Linked DNA regions of Elephas maximus indicus. The protein of the gene in region 1 interacts with the protein of each later gene in a biochemical or structural test. Links are inferred from orthologs where the notes say so. Each region holds a gene or a part of one and is shown on either strand. Other genes may lie near its edges.

Region 1 (8,227 bases):
TGGAAATAATCACAAAGCCAGATGCCAAAAATAACAACGTTTAGTCAATTCATGAGAAAACACTGCCCCTAGTTGAAATAACATGAAGTTTAGTATTAGAAGGAAGCAAAATAAAAATAATGTTTTGAATCCAAGTCCTATGTCTTATTTTTAAAATGACCAAACACCAGAATTATGATATGTAAGACGGCACTGGGTTTGGGGTTTAAAAACTCTCAAACAAAATTTTTTTCTAATATCCTACCCATTCAGGGTTAGAAAGATTATTTAACGAGTTACATCTGGCAGGAGTGGCTTTTTACTCAAACCATTTTTTTTTTAATCTTAGCCGCTTAAAAGACAATAATAGACTGATACAGAGCAACAGGTAACTTTGTAACAAACGCAACTGCTTAAATTCAAATGCCTAAAAGCGCACATCTGAATGTTCTGAAAATACTGCAAGTGAACTGCTTATATTTTTCCCCGAAATATATTCCCCGCAGACTTATCTGCAATATGCATGAACAATAAGTTAAAAAATTTAACAATCAATACTCAGAATATAACTTTCCCAACCACTATTCAACCTGTATACTTCTAAATGTGCTATTCCGGATATAATTTAATAAAGGCACTTCTTATTTTGGTCATGAGATAAAGGTCTTACATCAAGAAACAGTATACGATTTAGAAACAGAATACACAAGTCTTAATTGAAAAAACTTTATAAGATGTTTGCGTGATCATTCTCACGTGTAGAAATCAAGGCAAATGCCTTACATTATTACATGATATTTACATTTTGCTTACAGTCAGAGTCAACAGTGTGTGCTCAAGATTTACCTTCAAAAGCCTGATGATGCACTATTTAAGGACAAATAAGGGAAACAAGTAGTAATTCCACTCATGGAACCCAAACCGCAAATTTTCACAAAACCTCATGTGTCAATCATGAAACTATGCTTTTTCCATTAATTAATTCAACTACTAATCCCAATCAAAGTCTTCAGACAAAAAATATGCTTTCTAATGTACCAATCAATATTTGCATATCAGATCTTGTAAATCTCCTATCAATAGCACTTTACGGGGGCTTTAGTTTACAAATGAAATCACTGCCTCAAAATGATTTTATGGTTACCACATCTTCTAAAAGTACTGACCAACTAGTGGGGGAGGAGGAAACTCTTAACCATTATATTCTGTGCAGTAATCCTGGTAAGTCTAACATTTCATAGTCCAAACACCAGAATAACTCAGGCCATTAAAATGCCACCGCCCCCACACACAACTCCATAACAACAACAATTTAGAACAATCTAATAGTATTTAGGAAGTGAATGTAACTGCCTTTAAGGTGACTTTATTTCAGGCTACTCCTTATGTATCTTTTAATCACATCTGATTTGACATAGTCCACAAAGACCGAAGAAGCATTATTCACCAGCTAGAAACTGCACTCTTAAGCGTTTTCCTCATTTCAACCCCAAAGGACAGGAGAGTTGTCACAAATCTACAGAGCAAAAGCAAACAAGTGTAATTTATATCTAATAATCAACAATAACAAAAAAAAAACTAAAATATGTGTATCAAATCAATTCCCAAGCAGAATGCCTCCCTTTTCCTTACAAAGGAGTTATTGGCAAAATAACTAGACTCTAGATCTAGATTCTAAAGAATACTGAAATTCTCCATCTCAACATTCACAAGTTTTAACATCAAAATTCACCTAACTCCTACTCGCACACCAAATGAATATACAATGTGGGTATCCGAAACGAGTCTCAAATAATATGTCTCCCTCTAAACGTACTACAATAGCCTTCGCCCAACCACAGGTAACCAGATGCAAAGCTACAGACAGCTGCCCTTGGCCCAGACCGTCAGAAACCAAGAGGTGGGGGCAACAACCACCAAGAGACCCTATCTTTTTCCAGGGCTACTGTTTCCAAGCAAAACAATCACGGGCCCAGAGGGACAGCGAAGAAAACTGGAGACGCCGTAACCCCAAGAGAAAGGGGTGCGGGGGAGAGGAGGGATGCCGAGAAAGAAACGAAATATCTTCGCGCATCATTCAGATCCACAAAAACAACAAACCGTAGGATTTGCACGTAGAAACACCAGATGGAGTCCCCGGGACTGAGACAGTTGAGGAGACAGACACCATGGGTAGCGGATAAATGACCGAAGGGGGGGGTGCCGAACGAAGAAAAGCAGCCACTGGATGGGGGAGACAAAGCCTATGGGGGTGATCAAGGACCAAACAGAAAGGCTGGAGAAGAAACGAATGAGAAAAACAATGGAAGAAAAATTAAAAGACAAAAATTTGCTACCTGGGCTGTGCCAGGTCACTGGGCTGCCGAGCAGAGGGGGGCAAAACAAAGGGGCACGAGAGGAAGGGCAGCGGAGGAGAGGAGATGGGAGAAGGGATGCGGGGCGCGACGGGTCAGACAAAGCGCCCAAGGCGGTGAAACAAAGAGCTGGGGGTAGAAAATCGCGGGGGGCAGCGAGTAAAGACAAAGCGCCCGGGACCGGAGCACCCGGCGGGCGAGGAGGCGACGGCGGCCGGGAGGAACAAAGCTGCGCGGGGCCGGGAGGCAGGGCCCGCGGGCGGCGCCAGCCGCACGGGCGGCGCGCGGCGGACACAGCGCCCGAGGGCCCCGCGCGCTCGGCAGCACTCACGCCCGCACCCGCCGGCCTCCCAGTCGCCGCCGCCCGCCCTCTCGCGCTGGAGCCCGAGCCACGGCGGCGCAGAGTGGACAGCGCACGGCCACACGCCGCCACCGCGCTCGGCGCACGCGACACCGCCCCCGCTGCCCCCCGACACCGAGCGCACCGCGGCCCCCGAACCCGCCGCCCGCCGCCGGCTGCGAGACGGCCGCAACTTTCCCCGTGCCCAGCGCTCAGATTCCCTCAGACTTACCCTGTCACAACAGGCGCCATCTTCCACAAACTCTCGCCAAAACTCCAACCCTCGCGAGATTCCCCCCGACGCCTTCCCTGGTCCCTCTCCCCCGCCCTTCCCTTTTTCCTCACTCCTCGAGTCCACCCAGCCCCCTCGCTCTTCTTCCCCTCGCAGCCGCCGCGAAGAGCCAGACGCCTCGCGCCGCCTGCCGAGTAGGGGATCCTGCTTGCTGCCGTCCCTGGAAACCTACCCAAGCGATGGAGCATGCGCAGGCGGCTGCCCCGCGGGCGAGCCCTCCGTGTGGTCCATGGGGAGCGCTCCGGTTATCCGGGTTTTGGGACGCACCCTGAGGGACGTACGTGGAGACTGAGGAAAACTGGAGGGGATTACAACTGGGACGGGGAATGGAGGGGTCAGGGGGCGGGGCCAAGGGGAAGGGAGGAGGGGTCCTGGGAAAATCTGCCGCGTTCCACAGGCCTAGATGAAACACCTCCTCAAATGGGTGTTTTCCAAGTAGCTTCCCGCTCACTCTGGGTTCCCAGCCTCTTTCATTCATTCAAACGTTCATTGGACGCCTCCTTTATGCTGGTCTCAGCGTTAGATGCTGGAGCTACTAAAACGCCTGGGCTTAGGGCGAGTGGCATACGAGGAACCTTCTTCATTCATTCGACACCCAGACTAATGGGAGACGAACGTTACAACATGGTCCGACCCTACAGAGCTCTGCACACGGAAAACTTTTGCAGTTGAGCCCTGTCGCCTTAGCTTCTTTCTCCTTGGGTGCGAAATGAGGCCAGGTCAAGGCCTCTGGCAAAGGCATCCACCTCACACGCACACGCCAGAATGTCGAGTAGTTTTCTCCAGAAGTGAAAACTATGATGGAATTGAGAGCCGCCACCACCCAGCCCGGCCAGAGGGCCGGCTCAAAGCTGGCTGCCGTCGGCGTGAGCAGCAGCCGTGAGTGACCCCAGGTCAATAGGGGGCCGACTCTGCACAGAGCACCGGGCCTCCCCGGGGCCTGGCACAGCCAAAGACCCCACCGCTGCCTGACACGTACTTCAAGGGGTTTAAATCCGGACGACTCCCCCTAAGCCAACTTGGCGGGTCTGGGCATTTAATAGAAAGGTGCAGGGCCTGGACCCCGCCCGCCCTCCCTGCCGCCCTCCTACCCCACCCTCGCCCTTTCCTTTCCTAGAGATTCCCAGATCCTGCTCTGCCTCCCGCAGGGAACCCCAAAACCCGGAGAACTGGAATCCTCCGGCCGAAACCTGCTGAAGGCGCTGCAGGATTGGCGCGGCACACGCGAGAGGCAGTGCGCATGTGCCCAATGCAGGCAGTTCAGTCTCACGCTACACCTCCTTCCCACCGCCTTCCACTACTCCGCTCAGACACAACACGGGCCGTGGGAAATTTCCTAAACCTCGCGAGAACGCGCCCTCTGTTGCCTATGCTTGAGCCCCAAATCTCGCGGAGCGCAGGCTGGACAGGTGTTTGTCTTTTGCCGCTCCGGGCGCTGTTCGTGCCGCGCGTGCCCGGGCGGCTGGCGGCGAGCGCAGGTGGGGTGGGAAGGGAGCGGCTCGCCGCGGAGGCGGGGCAGGTGGGCGCGTGGCAGGCCGCGCAGGGCGGAGAGCGGCTGGGTGGGAGGCCCGACGTCTCGCACACACTTGCAGGTTCCTTGACTCTGCATGCAATAAAGGGTGGGGGCATGGGGCCTCTTAGGGAAGAAGAGGAAACAAGGAGTTTAGGAACTGCTCTCGGTGCAGAGGGATAAGAGGTCAGACTACAGGGCAGGAGGAACCCCAGGCCGATCTCCCGGGGAGGTTTCCTGTCTCCTTTCACGAGTCTGGTACTTTCCTACAACGTGTTAGACACTGCGGTCCCCGCCTCCGGAGCTGACGGACAGCCCCCAGTGTCGGATTTGAGTCATACCTCTGAGTCACCTAGCCGGGCCTCCACTTCACTTGCATTAAAACAAGTCTGGATTCTCATCTACCCTGGGGCTTGTGAGTTAGGTAGAAAAAAATAAATACATGTTGCTCTCTGCGCTCTCTCATTGTTGCTTTGTATAGATTCTGCTTCCCATTCAAGGACACGATTTTTCTTTTTTTTTAGATCATCCCCTCCTCAATCTCTTCCTAGCCTTTTGAAATAGTCCCTATATATCAGTTTCTGTTCTTTTTTTTTCTTCCTCCCCACTAATATGACATAATTTTGGTTTTGCTTTCCTTCCCCTTTCCATGTTTTTTGTTGAAAGACTCATTCCATTTTAGGTATCCTTTCGTCAGATCCCTTAGTGACCACTGTTTTAAGTCCGTCCCTTTCTTTTGGATTTTTTATTTTGTTCAGTGAGTTCCTGATTGCGTTTCTCAGTCAGGCTCACTTCAGACTGGCCTTAGTATGGTTTCTGTACCAGCCTAGCCTAGCCTACCATTGTCCAGGAACTGGTGTCTTGCTGGGAACATATTGTTGGCCAGCAAATGTAGAATTGAATTTTGATTCCTGGAGGACAGTGAGCCCTCTAGCAGGAGCTCAAGTTCTGCTGGTTGTATAATGGTGTTATAGGAGAAAACACATAATAAAGTTGAGTAAAGTAAAAAGAAAGTTTTATTTGGCATATATTCAAAAAGGCAAAAGTGGGAAGTGGACAAGCATGCTGCCGGAGCTACTGTCTGCCCCAAACCAAGGAAATATAGAACAGACAAAGGTGGGAAAAGGGACAAGCATACTACCACAGCCATGTCTGCCCAAGTCCAAAGAACATTACAGAGTCGTTAGTATATATTAACACTATAAATGGACAAAACCATTGAAAGCTTCACCTTTTTACAGATTGGCTAGAAACTATGATCCGACATTTTGAATTGTCCCTCTCAACAATCATTGGTACAGGTTTCAGTAAAGACGGTAAGGAAGGTCTTCACTGGTCCAACAAATTTTCTCTTCACTAAATGCTAATAGAAAAAGATAAGAGTGGAACGTCTTTTGTGTTCTGGCTTAAGTGAAAGATTCCCTAGAAGATCTTTTCCAAGATTATCTGTTGTCTTTATACCTCAGGGTTCAGTTGATGTGTCCTTGTGAGTCCTTGTGGGCCCAGCTGCAGCTGGGTCACATTCTCTATGCTCAAGGATAGGGAATAATGACTCCAATATTATTTCCTAGATCAATGGGCAGGAAATTAAATTTTTGTTTGTGCTGTTTTCATGGTTGTTAGGGGTGTGTGTGTGTGTGTGTGTGTTGTACTTGCCTGTATCTTTTGATTACATAGGGTCTCTATGAGTCAGAATTGACAGCAATGGGTTTTTGTTATTATATATTTAACACAGAAGAAGAAAAAATACAAAAGAATTTAATATAATATCTCAAAGTAAGTCTGATTTGAAAGAGAATAGCTCAGGAGGAGGACAATGACCTTTGGGCACATATTCCTTGGAGCCTTCCTTTCATGAAGCCATTTCCATTTTGGTCTAGTCCAGGCCACTGATCTGTTTTGGAACCATGGCCATCTGAGAGCTTCAGCATCCTTGGAAAATAATGGTAACCGTAAGTCTAATCACAATTCCTTAGGGTAAAGTCTAATCAGAACTTCAACCTAAAACTCTGCTCTAAAACATGGTCAGTCTATAGTCTTCGCCCATCTCAGTAAATGCCAACTCCATCCTTCCACATACTTAAGCCAAGAAGCTTGGTATGTTCTTGTGTTTTTTTTTTTTTTTTTTTTCATACACCTAACCTCCAGTCTCACAGAAAATCATGCTGGTTCCATGTTCAAAATATAGGCACAACCCAAGCACTTTCCCACCTCCATGGCTACCAGCCTGGTCCAAGCCATCTCATTCTCACCTGAATTCAGGAAGTCTCCAAACTGCTCCCCTTTCTTCCATTCTTGCCTCCCCATAGCCTCTTCTCACAGAGTACTCAGAGTGGCCCTGTGCTCAGAAGGTTCCAATGCTTTCCTCATTTCACTAAGAGGTACTTCAAGATCTGGCCTGCTACCAAAAGCCCCTGACCTCTGACCTCACCTTCTCCTCTTCTCCCCCTTGCTCACTGAACTGTGACCCTGTGGCTTTCTTGCTGTTCTTGGGACACAGGAACACACTCTCAACTCTAGGCCTTTGCTCTTTCCAAAATGTTTGTCCCTCAGACACCTTATGGCTTATTCCCTCACTGCCTTTACTGCAAATGTCACCTTGTCTCAGTGAGACCTTCCCTGACCACCCTTCAAAAAAGTGACTCCCTGTACTCCACATCTTACCTATTCCATTATTTTTCGCATGGAATTTATAAACTAACACACCATATATCCTACTTGTGTATTGTGTTTACTGTCTTCTGCTATTGTGTAATCTTACTGAGGGCAGGGATTTTTATCTCTTTTGTTCAGTGTTCAAGCCTTGGCCACAAGAGCAATGCTAGGCATCATAGTAGGTACTCGGTATTTGTGGAATGAATTGGGTGTCTTCCCCTTTAGGGCAAAGTAGAAATGATTCCGAAGACTCACTAAGCCTTCTAACATTCAAGACAATATTGGGTATGACCACTGATAAGTGCCCCAGTACCAGCCTGCCTGAGGAGGGGGAAGAAGTCTACAGTACCACCTGTGTTAACTTGATGCAAAAATGAAAGTTCTTATCTACAGATTAGACCTGTAGAACAGTAGATGAGGCCACATTTACTTTAAGGGTTTCCTTTACTCTCCATCTTAGCACCTCAGGAAAGAAAACACTGTTGGCAGGATATATAAAAACAAGCATTCTTATAGGTTGCTAGCGAAGTGAAAATTGGTATAACGTTTATCGAAAGCATTTTGGCGAAATATATCACTACCTTCTAATCCTACAATTCTGTTTCTAGAAATTTATCCTACAAATACGCTCACATATGCAGCATCAAATGTGGTAGAAAATATTAGTAACCTTCTAAATGTCCATAAGGAGATGCCTTTTTTTTTTTTTTAATCATGATATATTCATAGAGTGGAATAGTATGTATCTATTAATAAGCAGAGGTTTTTTTAAGTGTATTTATGTGGAAGGCTCTCAAAGGTATACTAAATTTAAAAAGCAAGGTGCAAAACAGTGATAGATAAATGTACAGTTACTTGCTGTGTGTGTCTAAAATGGCTCTGGAAGGACTGACTAAGAACTGTAGTAGTGACTGTATTCCTATAAAGGACTCAGTGGCTGGAGGACAGAGATGAAGAGGTGTCTGTCTGCTGTCTTGGATCTTTTGAACTTTGTACCATGTGTGGGTATTGCCTATTTAGAATATAAATCATTAAAAAAAGGAGTGCGAGAAGAAAAAAAAAAAAAAAGAGACCAAATTGTTTCTTTTCTTCCACTT
Region 2 (7,461 bases), on another chromosome or scaffold:
ATAAAAGGCTTTGAATTACTCCAAAAATGACTCACAGCTGGATCAGCAAGGACATTTCTTGTACATGTGGAAAAACTCTTTTTAAGGATAAACAAGAAACCAGAAACAGATACCTGATGGGGAGGGGGAATGGGTACCGGGAGACCAAAGGTCAGGGGTGGTGGGGAGATTTTTCTCTGTATACTTTTTAACGCTCTAGTCAAATAACAGAATACATGTTTAAACATGAAGAATCGCCTTTAAAATAAAGACGTTTCAGGGAAACACAGTCTGCTACATTTTAAAATAACCTGCTTTTATAGGAATCACCTGCCTTTGCTCTGTTAACAGGTAAGGCACTCCTTTCAGTGCAGCCGTGAGCAATGTGCCAGCTAAGCCCTCTGTAATACAGTACTGGTCCTCCAGACTGCCGCTTTCCAAGGCAGCCTGCGCGCATCCTCCGTCCCCTCCTCCCTCTGTGCATTCTGAGATCTGCTCTGCTGATTCCCACATAAAGTGGGTCCTAGCCGCCATTTTAGAAAGTCATTCACACAAGACAGACTGCAGCACCATCCACTTAGAAGCCTTCCAAAACTCCCTTGGGCAATTTCCTCTTTCCTATCTCTCCCCCTCAATTTGCAGAAGGGTCAAACTCCCCTAGACAAGCGATGCAATGCAATGCAATGCATGCCATGTCTCTGGAATCTGCATAATGCAAAACGACACGTCTGGCCACAGAACACGGAGCAAAGAGAATGCTGCAATGCACGTGTTTGCGCGTCGGTGCGTACGAATTTTCCATCCAGCAACCTACAGATAGAGTCCACAAGGAGATAAAAGTCAGCGCATCTAAGCGGTTTATCTCCTCCAAAAATCTGCACCTAAATGATTTTTCCACCAAAACACTGAGGACGAGGGATAGGAGGGAAAAAGGGGTGGAGCAACGCCAGGAAGAGAAAGTTCTCATCTGCTTCCCAATTCAGCTCAACGACTCCCCTTTATCATCGCGGGCAAAGGCGAGTTTTTGCCTGGTCTCTCAGGCACAACGTAGTAAACACTGGGAGAGTCCCTGGAAGCGCACCTCCCCCAGCCCTGCTGAGGACAGTTTTAGCAGGTTATGAATGGTCTCACTATTCCCGGCTCCTTTTCACACGCGGACACGCGCAGACGCGCGCTCCAGACGTGAAAATTTAATACCCCAGGAACAGCAACCACCAACAGAATCAATGATCCTCCATTTGAAAAACAGGGGCTCTGCTGCCGCTGCTCCTATTTCCTTATCCACGCAGCTCAACAGCGAGCGACGCAATCTATTTTTCCCATGGTGACTCACTAATAAGGACGCTCCATAATTTCCCTCACTCACCTAAATAGTAAGAGGAATTAGGAGTACACCAAACTTAATACCTTTCAGGGTCATGAATACGAAAAAAGCTAATTTCTGAGAATGATCATAAAGATTTGTACGGTCCTTCTCAATCTGCTCCAAGTCTAAATAAATCGCTATTTTAATTATTTTATTTTGAGACCTCTTACCAGTTGTGGTACACATACATTTCACAAAGAAAACAAGTGCTAAGTGCTACAAAAAAAAAAACCAAAAAAAAAAGTGCTACTAAATAAAAAAGATGTATCAAAGACCTTTTACATTTCATGGACAAATAATTCGCGTAGATTAAAAAAAAAACATTAATCTTAAAACACTTGCATTTTTAAACCATTTGATAAATTATGGGTGGGGGAAAATACCATTATTTTTAAGAAGGATATGCACGATAATGCCAGCACGGCCGCAGTAGTAGGTCCCGGAGCTTCCTCTGGGCTTCACAGCGCCTATTTGAGGTGGGTACCTTCCTATTTGAGGCTCTGTTCCCACCATCCTCCTGATGGGCACCCGAGGGGGCTGGAGGAAGAAAGGCGAAAGAGCCAAAACTGGGGCACAAACTTATTTGCAGACCTCATTCTCCACCCAATCCCGCAAAAACAAGAAAAAAAAGACAAAAAGGAATTTGCCATTTTCATTTCGTTCCCAGGTCTGTAACTCTTCGGTGTGAGAGATCCCTAGAATCTAGCAGTGTCTTCCCAAATCAGAGATGTTCCTACGTTACCTACCAAGACTTTTGTTTTTGTACCTCTTCTTTCGCACAAAACCCACTCTAAGTCAGACATTTCCATGCGCCCTTGTGCGCGGAGCGGGAGTTGCTACGAGAGTCGGGAGTCTGCGGTGCCGGGGCCGGAGGGGCAGGGGGCGGGTCTGGGACAGGTCCGGGTCCCGGGCCGGCCGCAGCCTGTCAGCCGCTGCTCGGTTCCCGGTTCGGCCGCCTTCGCCGGGCGGATGCGGGTGGCTGCTCGGACCGGGGGCGCCGGGAGGCGCGTCCCAAAGACCTGAGAGCGGCTCGCCGGGGCAGCCGGCGCGCAAGGACGCGACCCCGCCGGGGAGCGCCACCAGAGCGCGGCACTGACCCGCTTCCTTGCCAACGCCAGGGGAACCCTCGGGCGCCTGCTTCGCGGAGGCCAAGCGACAGTCTCCTTATTCGGAAGGGAGAGGGTGGCAGCTGGGCCCCGCGGCCCCGCTCCGCCGAGGCCCAACGCCGGGACCTGGCCGAGCGGCCGGCGCGGCAGCCCGCGCGCCCCCCGCACCCGTCCGGGAGTCCGGGACGGGGTCCTCCTCCCCAGTTCCGAGCACGGGGAGAGCCAACAACGGGCCAGCGCCGCGGCCGGGGAGAGAGCGCGGCCCGGGCCTCGTGTCACTCACCGTTTGAAATGCTCGATGATCTTCTCTTCCCGCACGTTCTCCGGTAAGTTGCCCACCCAGAGGTGCCTGGTTTCCCGGACCATGCTGGGCGGCGTGCCGGCGACCGCCGCTGCTGCTTCTCCCTCGCCGGCTTGGTACGAGCCCTTCAGCGCCGGGAGGCGGGCGCAGCGGCGGCGGCGGCGGCTGCGGCGGTGGCGTCGGCAGCGGCGGCGGCTCCTCCGGCTCCCCCCCGTGCAGAGACCATCCCTCTCCCCCAGGTTCTGACTCTCGGGCCTCGCAGCGCCGCTCTGCCGCCACCACACACCCGAAGCCGACCCTCGCGCTCCGGCAGCGCATGCGCCCGGGCGGCGGCAGGCGGGGGGAGCGGGGAGGAGGGGCGAGCGGGACCCGGGCGGCAGCGACTACGACGGAGCTGGCGCTGTGGCAGCCGGACGCTTCCCACCGGCGCGCGCGCGGCCCGCCTCCCGTCGCCTGGCCGCCGCCCCCTCGCCGCGGGCGCGCGCGCGTCCGTCCGCCGAGGCCGAGGCCCCGCGTCCCTCGCAGCCGACGCGCAGGCGCACGGGCAGGGCGGGGGATGGCGGGACGCGGGGCGGGGGAGGGACGCTCGCGCTCGGTCCCGGTGCGCAGCCGCGCGGGGCGGGCGCGCCGTCAGGCCCCCGGCGCGGGGAGGCAGGAACGGCTTCCAGCCTCCCGCGCGGGGGTCCTTGGCGCCGGCCTGGGGGAAGAGAAGAGAGAAATGGAGTTGGTTTTGACAAGGCTTCGTGTCCAAGGGGCAGCGAAGGCCTCCGTCCTAGGAGATGCCAAAACCCCTTCCTCTGCTCACCCTCCGGGCAGCTCATGGCCGTTTCCGGGCACTTGGATCCCCGCCTGCTTGGGAAAGTGGTCAGAACAGGCCGTCCTTCCCACCGCCCAGCCAAGCAGTGATGGCTTCAAAAACCCACCCCTCCCAGGAATCATTAGCTTGTAACGTTAAACAACTCTATTTTACATAGCATCTTGCGAAACCTTTTGCAAGATACCCTTGCTGATCGTTAGGGTATACCAGGAGTGGAAATGAAATGGGACAGTTAGATGTCTAATTGTTCTCAGATGTCTCACTGAGATAGTACGTAGACCTCTGACTTTCCCAGGTCTGAGGACTTTTGAAACCTGAAATTGAACAGCTTACAGAAACCTAGGTAAAACCCACAAAATTCAGCCAACTGTATTCAACTGAATCCAGAAAATGTGAATTGTTTAAAACAGCAACTCAGTTTTCCCCCATTTAATCCACAGATTTATCAGAGGGGTAGTGCTTCCTTCTGTTGTACATGGGGTGGCGATCCGTGGGAGCAGACTCCACAGCACTCAACAACAGTGCTTCAGGCACAGGCCAGATCTTCACTCTATGGTGCCACTCACTGTCCACTTAAATAGAAGCCAATTGATCATCAAACTACACTACTTTTAAGTGACAGATACGGTCACCATAACCAATGATGATTCAGCACCAATAGGTGAGGTCACCTGTCCAAGTCATCTTATATTTTGTTCCACAAAAGCTAAAGCCCTGAGCCTTTCGTTTGCCTTATAGTCTAACGTAAGTTTGTTAAAGACTGAGTCACAGAGACAGAGCAGAGAACTACCTCAGAGTCACATCAACCTTTCCTGTATTTTCTTTACTAGTCCATGCTGTACTTAATAAACTTGATCTTAGATCTGATGAACTGAGAAAGCTGTCTTCTCTCCTTTCTCAGGACTTTCAGAAGGCTAAGTAAGCCCTCACATTACACAGTTACAGCTGTTACAGGATAGGCAGTCCCGGGTTACCAATGAGATCTGTTCCTAAGTCAAATTTGTAAATAAGTCAGAACAGGTACGTACAATTCTTATTTAGTGTCAGCCAAGTATTTGTCTTAGCATATAGATCTGTATTTTACACGTAAACACTTCCAAACTGTGCAATGTTTTCATGAGTGTCGCAAAGTATTGTATGCATTCCTTATTACAAACCTTTGTATGTATTTAACTCAAATTTTTAATATAATAGGCTGTATGACAGTCCATTCCGAAGTACGAGTTGTCTGTAAGGCATAAGTCACACTTTCGTAACCCAGGGACTGCCTGTACAGAAGCAAACCTTGCCATCTTGGTTGACATTTTTCCATGGAACTGATTTTGGAAATTTAATTAGTTACTTTTAAAAACATTCAGATTCTGGGCTAGATAATTCAACTGGTTTATTTTCTATGTTATTTTCCTGATTTATGTTTTCATTTTCTATTTCAACACTTTTTTTTTTCCTGACTATTTTGGGAACTTTAATAAGGGCAGGAACAAAAGGAGAAGATCTAAAATATGTGCCACCACAATAGTGGCACATATTCATAATTTAGTTAAGGTATTTAGTGCCAGGTTAGAGGTTGATCTTGTCCTCATGCATATCAAAGAGTCACTAAATGAAATGGAAATTTTTATTCTTGAAAATATGGAATTGATTCTTCAGTTAAAAAGGAAAAACAAATCAAGCTACATTAAGATGTAGGATTGGCCATTTACATTTGGCCATTTCTGTCATAACTGCTGTCACATAAATAGTACAACATCAGCACAATATTACCTAAACTCATGAACTATAACAGTGATTATGTAGCTTTAGTTAGTGAGCCTCAAACTGACATGCATTTTCCCATGAAGCATAAATTCAATATAAGCCACTACGGTTTGAGGCACGTTTGAAAATAAGATATAAATTGCTCATCTAAAACCTGATAGGCTCTGAATTAACTGAAAACTTTTAGGAAAGACCAAAAATGTCACCCTGAAGACCAGAGGAGGCCCAGCTCAACTGCATATAAAAGAGGCAACAGACAAAGAAGAGGATTGAGAAAACAGTATTTTGCAACTACAGAAATAAAGGGCGTATCTCACCTTGGATGCAGCCTTCGGTTAAAATCATGCTGAAGAAAAATTCAAGGGCCCAAAAAAAAAAAAATGTAAAAGTCTTTTAGAAGCAAAATCATTAGAAGAGAGGCTAAAGTAATGACTTAGTATGGTATTTTGTATCCATCTTTGACTGCCACAGAGCAATAAAAGGATAAACTAGAACAAAATAAGAGGCAATTAATATGTATTTATAATACTTTCTCCAGAGCATAAGAATTAGGGAGAGTTAAATTTAAGTAAAAAGTAACATGTTTACCAAATAAATACAAAAACAAATGTAGTTCTCCTAGATTAGGCTAAGGGTCTTGCTACAGCAGTGCTGTTTCCCCAGGTAAAAAGCAGAGTAGATACTTAATTTTGATAAGGTAATTTGAAATGGGCAACGTTCTTTACATACACTTTGAAGCCCCCCAACCTTTTAGAGAAGAGCAGAGGGAGTGGAAGGGAAATTGTGGTATACCATTACTAAAAAATTGTTAAGCAAAGTTGCGCTAAAGCTTTCCAGGAACCCTTAGAGATCACAGAATGTCAAGAAGACCTGAAGCAAATTAAGATACCATTTTTCATTTTACCAGAGGTCTATCAAAAAAAAAAAAAAGTATAAACTGTCTGTTTAGCAATTTAAAGGCAAGTAGTTTCTCCCATTAAACATCATTTGTAGAACCTCATACTCAAATTCTCTTGAAGTGTCGTCGTTAGTTGCCACAGAGGGGATTCCGATTCATGGGGACCCCACATCTGCAGAGCAGAACTGGTCCATAAGGTTTTCAAGGCTGTGACCTTTCAGAAGCAGGTCAGGCCTTACTTCTGACTTGAAGTGTTAGTTTAATCAAGATACATTTTTCAGAAATACGGGTGCCAAAAATAATGACAGAAATATCCATTATAGTGTTGTTTTTTTTTTAATCTGACATATACTTCTCAAAAGAGAATTCTCAGTTTATAAAATCCCAACAGGTATCAGCCTAAATAGACATGCAGATTATTCAATGAGTAAAACAAATACTTTGTATTCAAATTTTAATGTGATCCTCTGACACCAAAAATGTTACTGTAATTTCACTTCTGCAAATTTATTTGAAGGGAAAATAGCTACATACACCAGGTTAAAATAAGCAATTCCACTGGGAATTCTATCCATTTCTATAAAAGATTCTTTCATGACAACAAACACCTTAAAGTTCAGGAGATTCTGAAAACCACTAACAGTGTAATAAGAGATATCATAGCGTAATGGAAGGAACGGTGAGGTTAAGAGTCAAAAATTCCAGTTGCAATTTTGTCACTGGCTATGTGGCCTATATCCTATAGGGTCGCTACAAATTGGAATTGGCTCAACAGCAGTGGGTTTTGTTTTGGAGCCCTGGTGGTATAGTGGTTAAGAACTTGGCTGCTAACCACAGTTCAAATCCACCATCAGCTGCTCCTTGGAAACCGTATGGGGCAGTCTGCCCTGTCCTATAGGGTTGCTATGAGAAGAAATCAACCAGACAACAGGTTTTGCTTTTTTTTTTTTTTTTGAATAAGCAAGACAAATCCTCAAAGTTTCCTTATCTGCAAAATGAGGATAAAAATACCTGTTTTCTCTACCTAATAAGTTTGCTAAAAGTATCAGATGTTACATGTGTTTGAAATTAACATATCATATGATTATGACTACCATTAAGTTGACAGTTAATTTCACAATAATAGCAAAAGTAAGCATCAGTGGAAGTAAAAACACATTATCAAATGCATAATATTTTCATTATTACAGCCAGGTTCTGTAGTCAAATCAGTACTCAGTGATTACATGTCAAGTA

Evidence for each region.
Region 2: the proteins of RBPJ (region 1) and SPEN form a complex in vitro, tested with the Homo sapiens proteins (2 studies listed by BioGRID and IntAct). The link is inferred for Elephas maximus indicus from reciprocal best matches to the Homo sapiens genes RBPJ and SPEN.

What each region holds. Positions count from the first base shown.
Region 1 is NC_064823.1:136,632,329-136,640,555, forward strand, and holds the start of RBPJ (recombining binding protein suppressor of hairless), read right to left. Parts: upstream 3,245-8,227; 5' UTR 3,197-3,244; coding exon 3,138-3,196; intron 2,978-3,137; exon of another isoform or gene 2,926-2,977; coding exon of another isoform or gene 2,906-2,925; intron 1-2,905. UniProt on the Homo sapiens protein: Transcriptional regulator that plays a central role in Notch signaling, a signaling pathway involved in cell-cell communication that regulates a broad spectrum of cell-fate determinations.
Region 2 is NC_064821.1:55,571,642-55,579,102, reverse strand, and holds the start of SPEN (msx2-interacting protein), read right to left. Parts: upstream 3,127-7,461; 5' UTR 2,818-3,126; coding exon 2,735-2,817; intron 1-2,734. UniProt on the Homo sapiens protein: May serve as a nuclear matrix platform that organizes and integrates transcriptional responses. In osteoblasts, supports transcription activation: synergizes with RUNX2 to enhance FGFR2-mediated activation of the osteocalcin FGF-responsive element (OCFRE).